2 linked regions of the Danio rerio genome follow. The protein of the gene in region 1 interacts with the protein of each later gene in a biochemical or structural test. Links are inferred from orthologs where the notes say so. Each region holds a gene or a part of one and is shown in the gene's direction. Other genes may lie near its edges. The genes, in order: flt4 and vegfd.

Region 1 (4,591 bases):
CTTTTTAATTTTGTGACTATTGTAGTTATCAAATGTTCCTTTCATTATCACTAGGTTCACATTAAATCTGCATGCACTGAAATCTGCAGATACGTTTTTTAGTCCATCGAGCATATTCATTTATATGTAAATGTGTGTAAATATTCAGTTTTGGTCCCACTTTATATGAAGTGGCCTTAACTACTTTCTACTTGCATCAAAAAATTAATACAATGTACTTACTGTGTTCATAATGTATTGCAGAACACTTCTGGTGCTTTTGAGGATGGATACAGGTAAGGTTAGGAAAAGGTTTGTTAGGTTATGGCCATGGATAGGTTTAAGGGTGGAAGAAGGTGTAAAGAATGGTCTACAGTGTAATTACCAATGCAATTACAGAAATTAATAACAGATTACATGCAGGTTTAATCAGTCATAAATGCAATGTAAAAACATTTACACAAGAACATTGTAGCAAATTATTAATTTATAATGTAAATACATATTTATTAGGGTCACCTAAAATAAAGTGGGACCTCGGTTTTTATAATCATTTCAGTAATTTTATTAACTAATGTGCAAATGTTTATGATTTATTTACAAAACAGTTTGTAAAGTAATATGTTTCCTTTACTATTAATCTTCTGTTAAATACATTTATAGGAGAGAATGCTTTGTTTACCAAACAAATTGATCTCATTGGATTTGCACTGTAAACATTAAGTTAAAAAAACATTATTATTTTTTTCACGTTAAGCTTTTAGTTACTATACTCCCATAATTATTCAGCATGAATCTATAGATACTGCAAATAAAATTCTGCGCAGAAATAGCAAAACATGTATACAGTTTCTGTCTAGCCCTGGTTATATCACCAAAGCTCTCTCTATTTTATTGTATGTGTTTAAATCATTATGTTGTCTCAGAAGTCTGAAATCTGTTTTACGAGGTGCCATGCTGAAATACTGGCAACAAGTCAGCATCCTATAAGCTTTCAGATACAGCCAATGTATCTTCAGGAGCCACAACTTGTTATTTAATTAATTTGTTATTTATTTATTTACATTTGGTTGTCAAAAATCCAGCAGCCATTGACTTGCATTTTTTTATTATTATCAAAACCTTTTTTTTTTTTTCATTGCTGGATGAACAATTTCCTCAAAAATCACAACTGGGAGTGTGGAACAATTCACTGTTGAGATGTAGCCTTTTCAGTATCAGACCATGGCAATTATTCTCACTAGACCAACTCTTCAACTTCAGCCAATTTTTATCACAGAAATCCTGCATATCAGAACTTCAAACAGTGGCATTTAAGACCTCGGTAATATTAACACAAACCATATGTCCACTATAGTGGACGCAAATGAACTGCTGGTCTTCAGAAGGCATTGTCAGTTAAAACTTACAGCACAGGGGCCAGACACTTTATGTGACACTTCAGACTGGGGGAGTAATAGTATTATCACTGAGGAGGACACGGGCGTTTATGAACGAAAGGAGGCAGATGAGTGAGTCAGAGGAAAAGGAAATGATTGTAAATCCATTCAGAACTTCGGGATTCTCTTTTCAACAGGAAAAAGAGCGTTTTATTCCCGTCGTCCTGTGGCACATCCTCTTGCAGAGACGCTTCTTTGGGTTTCACCTGATTCTGAGGTGCTTCTGTTGGCTTTATTAAATGACATCAGAAAACGCGCAGGTTTGCTAGAATATCTAAAACCCCGGAGGACTGGAAACCTGGAAATGAAGAGAGATTTTACGTTTTTCTGTCGGATTTGGATTGGGATTCCCTTCTTCTCAGGTGAGAACGCATTTTCCTAAACACTTCGAAGTTTGTTGTCATAATAGAACGCGGCAAAATTTAAACTCTTTGTTTCATTTAAAAAGAGGCAATGTCAGAACATTCACTTCATGAACAACTATCAAAACTGAAAGAGCGCGAAAGGTTCGCATTAATGTGACCGTTTGAATTTTGTCGCCTTTTAAAACTCAAGTTTTCATGAAAGTTTGTCGGGAGCTTTTCCCGAGTTGCTCAAGTTTTGTATTAACCTACTTCAGCAAAAGTTTTCTTTTGTATAACTTTTTTTCTTCATAATTGTGCCTAATAATTATCCTCTCATTTATCATTAGTAATTTATTAACACCAGTCATAACCACCAATTAGCTACACAATTTGAACCATAATCAGGTATTAAAACAATTTAAAAGATTAATGAATCGAAGACATCAAGTAGACTAGCTCTATTCATAACTCACAAAATTCATAATTCTTGCATGAGGTTTAAAGCAGAGTCTATGAATTTGTATGTACTTTTAATTCTACTTGACTTTCTGTCCTTCTGTGCATCTCACGACTGTTCGCCTTTAGTTAGGCTATGCATAGTTCATTACAATCACCGCACTGCTGTTCTCCTTCACACGAGCAATCATTGCAATGTCTGCAGTTTAATTTACTTTTTCCCTCAACGAAAGTACTATATGACACATCACTAGAGGGAGCCTTGTGGTTATACATGAAAGGTGAATGCCTTTTGTTAATTGGTATTACTAATGGGATGGAATTAAAACTCCAGACTGCAATGTAGCCAGACACAGTTTTAATAAAGCAGTTGAGTTGCATGACATGAGAATGATAAGCTGTGATCCATCAAATATGCTAATTAGAAGCCACAATGACTTTTGCATTGACAGGAATAATCTTTTTTTTGTGGCAGATGCAAAATCATGTTTTTATTTTGACCTTAATCGTCATGGTATTTCCTAATGTTTTCTGTTATCGATATCCCGCATATTATTATTTTTTGCTGTGGTATTTCTTATGTACACAGTATTATTCCAACAGAACACCTCTGAAACCAGACCCTCAGTCAGGGGGTGTGATATCAGCCAATCATAATACTGAGCTGTTTGAGACAGCAGAAACCCACTTTTCTCCTCACTGCACTGCTCTCAAAAATCCCTTTTTCATGCTAGTGGTGAAGAAAGAAGTTCATTTTGCAGTGAATCCCAACTAAAAGAGATACTTAAGAGTCTCAGCCAGTGCAGGTGTCATATATTGAGATTGGAAGGGTTGTAAAACTAATTCTTCCAGCATGTTGGCAGGTTACACATCAAATACTGTAGCACCTCTTCTATAGATTTTGGCAAAAGGATGAGAATTTTCTCAATGCTAGGAATCTACAGCTATAAGAACCACACTTATAGATGTCTTTATTAAAACACTGCACAAAATCAAAACCACATGGCAGCTTGGTGTCCCTGTGCTTGACTGCTTTGTCATAACAAGCGCTACAGTATGTCCAAAATGTTAGAATACCTTTAAGCAGCATGGCTTTCCAAATTACCTACTTTTTCAGAATACCTTGTGAAGCTGATATGAAGAGCAGAATTTAAATTAGTGGTCAACTACATTTGAACGTGTCAAGCAGGTTTATTATGTAACAGCATGAGGAGCTCTTTTGGCTGCAACATTGCCTTCTAGGCAGTATCTGTAGTGTGTCGTATAATAGACAGTAATTACTGTCTGGAGATTCTGCTGATTAAACTCCATTACTCTGTTGGCGGAAACAAATATCTCATCATTAGATCTCCAGAATGTTTGTAATTTGATATATGACTGGAGCAGAATGCTGTAAAGTGTGATTGTAAAGCCATATTTTAAACCTCAGATGATGACTTAATGTTTTAAGTTCACACTTTTGCAACGTGTTTTACAATAGCTGGGCTAATTGTCTCATACTGTGTATATACTGGCTGGGTTTTGAAATCACAACCAATTCCGATCTATCTGGTTATTATGAGAGCAGTGAAATTAAAAATATATATCATTACTGTGTTTATTGTGTGTATATAGGGCCAGTGCTATAACCTTACGCCTTCAGTTTTACACAGCAGTATGTTTATCTATTAAGTTGGTGCTACAGACAAGACTGAATTCCACCAAAATAGAGAAACCTTTTTTAGGGCTTTGTGTAGGTTTGTATTTTACATTACTCAAAAAATACTCTAAAATGTCTCTGCCAGTGTTTTCAAACAATTATATTTGATTTACCAAAGTCACACAAATTTCATATCTGTAAGATCCATAACAGAGAGATGTCACATCTAAAATGAAGCTTTTCCTTCATAAATGCCAAAATGTAAAATAAAACCAGTCATTTTTGTTCTATTGAGAGAACTTTTATCGTTTTGATTTGCATTTTTTCTTTTGGGTTGTGCAGTTTAATTCACAGAATGTTTTTATACTGTAAAAAAATTGGTCACATCTATAAAGCATGTTTATTTTCCTCATTTAAAATGTAAGATATGTTTACAGATTGATATTTTCCTGATCCCATAACTCTGTAGTTATGGGTTATATAAACAGATGTTTCAGTATATAATGTTAACATATAGTTTTTTTGTGAATTTATGCTTTAGGTTTTTACTGCATATGTCACATCCATAACACTAGAATTGCTTAATACCTAAAATTACAAGTATTGAGGAGACATAGTCTAAATATTGTGGGCTTTTGCTTTGGCAGATTATAAAAATACTGACAGAGTGACCAAACATAGTAATATTTAAAGACTTCAGATGAAAAAATCTCTAAATGCTATCTGAAATTTTC
Region 2 (2,861 bases), on another chromosome or scaffold:
AAAACTGCTTCAACAATACACAACATATAATGAGTTTCTTTTGCATGCACAAGTTCATTTTTTTTCAATGCATGCGGAGCGACATGCTTGCACTTTCCAGGCACGCCTAGTTGAAAACATTTACATTTTTAAGAATACTGCAAGCACACCACAAATCACATGACGAATAGATCGATCAGATTAGTACTTTGTGAAATGAAAATACCAAATAATTTTGTAATAGTTGATTTAAAGTGCCTTTCAAACAGAGGTTCAGCAGCCTTTGACTACATTTTTAAAAGAGGAAATACTTTGCTAATATGTAGCTTAGATTTGTATTAAACAAATATTTTTAATTGGTTTTTATTTGTATTTATTTTCAGTGTAAAATTATTACTTTTGTTTAAATGTCACTTCTTTTTAAGTCCAAAAAGAAATGGACTATTGTTTGTTTTTGTTATTACCCAGCAGGCACAGGACATCAACATGACATCAGATTGTACCCCAACGTCGTGGGACGTTGCATTTTGATTGAAAATGAAAATCGAGTTGACATCAGAACCAATGTCAGGCCAACATCAATTTCCAACATTGGACAAACATGCATTTTGCTTACTTTCTAACACAACCTAAATACAACAAAATATCAACATCTAATCTTATTACACCTTGACGTTGTGTGGATGTTTTACACTATGACGTTTATCAGACATTGGATTTTGGTTGCCATACCTGATAAATAAATGTCAGTATTTATCATCTATATGACGTTGGTTTAAGATGTTGGCTCAACGTTAGATTTTGGTCACTTTCCAACACAAACTAAAATCAACCAAATATCAACTTTATTTCATGTCATTATTGAACTTCAAAATAACATTGTCCTTAAAAGCTGTTGACCTAAATCCATATGTCTTATGATGTTGTGTGTCTGCTGGGTATTATTTTCTGCTGTGTTATTTAGTTACTGAGCCACAATATATAACAATTTAAAATATAAATGTTCATGTAGTTTCCTAAACTAGTAGTGTTTTGAAATTAATAAATGCATGATAACAGTAATAACCATCGTGATTATTTCTCAGACTATAATCATATAACCAAAATCTATAATCATTGCATCTATAGAGGTTTAATATTTATAAGATTGTTGGTTGCATGCCAATTTGTTACTGAGATTTTCACTAATATATATATATATATATATATATATATATATATATATATATATATATATATATATATATATATATGTATATATATATATATATATGTATATATATATATATATATATATATATATATTTATATATATATATATATATATATATATATATATATATATATATATATATATATATATACATACATACATACACACACACACAATCTTTGGCATTATTTCACATTATTTACTCGACTCTCTCAAGGTATCAGCATTGGCACTGCCTACTGAAAGACTGACCGCTTGTGACTTTGTAAAGGTTATTGTGCAGCTGTCACCGGGCACTTAGTAGTTATTCAATTCATGTTTTGCAAAACAGCCATGATCTTCTGCTCATATTGGTGGCAAGCATCCCAAACTCCAATCCCTAGGATCTGTGTCTTCACTGAGCTTCTAAACAGGTGGTCCATACTGAGCTAATAGAGCTTATGCTGCAGTTGTTTAGAGTGGGCCTCTGCCAGAGGGTGTTCCATGTGATTGGCTACACAACCTGGTTTCAGAAAAGAAAACTTGAACTTTATGGTCCTCCAGATTAGGTCCTAGAGATTATGAAGATCCAGTAGGTCTCACAGGTAGTATATGGCTGTCCAGTCCACAGTGCTTTAAAACTGCGTCATATTACCATAGAGTTCTTTAAGCCGTGCTGAAGGTTGCCTAGTCATGTCAAAAAGGATTGGCAATAAATCATGCGAGTCTATAACTTGGTATATAAATTATAGCAGAACCACACAAGGAACAGCTGCATCCTTTCCCTGGTGTAATACTGATTCTTTGCACAGCCAAAAAAATGCAGAGGATTTATCATTGATTATCGCTACCGCCCTCTAGTGGATACAAGTAGATCTGGTCATGCGTTAGTGATTAAATCCTTCCAGTTCGCCTTTTACCATGGCAGGACTTCACACACCTCACAAACAGCAGGGAGTTTGAATGATGCAAGTCTTTATAGTGGGTTGTTAAGTGAAGAAAAAAGGTGTTTCTAATTTGTGAAGTATTACATCATTATTTCAAATCATTTCTCGAACTTCCGCATTGCTCTTCCATTGCTTTTTCTTTGGCCGAATTTTACTCAACATGCCTCAGGCCCTATTCCTCGAAAAAATTTTCCATTGTTGTATTAAAATCAGCAGTCCCAGCACTTTTTTTAGACTCAAGATTATATATCTCCACAGGACACAAATCAGGAAAAGTGGGAGCAGGAACTGAGGGAAGCCGGGAGTCTGGATGAGCTTCTGATGTTGACCGAATACCCGGACTGGAAGTTGTGGAGATGCAGACTCAAGCTGAAGCACTTCGATGACGTTACCCCACCTGAGAACCGCAGGTCAACTCGATATGCAGCCGCATCGTTCAGCCCAGAGATGCTTAAAGGTTATGATCTTCTTTGAAATGTCTGATGTCTAAATGCATAATTGTGAAAGCAACGTCATGCTAAATGTATAAACTAATCTGTTTTTCAGATATTGATGACGAATGGCAGAAAACACAGTGTATGCCGAGAGAGACATGTGTTGATGTGGCTAAAGAACTGGGAACCAATACAGCTGTGTTTTTTAAGCCCCCATGCGTCTCTGTCTTCAGGTGTGGCGGCTGCTGCAACAAAGAGGGAGTTACCTGCCGTAATACAAGCATGACTTATGTCAATAAAACTGTGAGC

Evidence for each region.
Region 2: the proteins of flt4 (region 1) and vegfd form a complex in vitro, tested with the Homo sapiens proteins (2 studies listed by BioGRID). The link is inferred for Danio rerio from reciprocal best matches to the Homo sapiens genes FLT4 and VEGFD.

Annotation. Positions count from the first base shown.
Region 1 is NC_133189.1:18,235,475-18,240,065, reverse strand, and holds the start of flt4 (vascular endothelial growth factor receptor 3 precursor), read left to right. Parts: upstream 1-1,623; 5' UTR 1,624-1,722; coding exon 1,723-1,780; intron 1,781-4,591. UniProt on the Homo sapiens protein: Tyrosine-protein kinase that acts as a cell-surface receptor for VEGFC and VEGFD, and plays an essential role in adult lymphangiogenesis and in the development of the vascular network and the cardiovascular system during embryonic development.
Region 2 is NC_133186.1:31,991,013-31,993,873, reverse strand, and holds part of vegfd (vascular endothelial growth factor D precursor), read left to right. Parts: intron 1-2,376; coding exon 2,377-2,575; intron 2,576-2,664; coding exon 2,665-2,855; intron 2,856-2,861. UniProt on the Homo sapiens protein: Growth factor active in angiogenesis, lymphangiogenesis and endothelial cell growth, stimulating their proliferation and migration and also has effects on the permeability of blood vessels.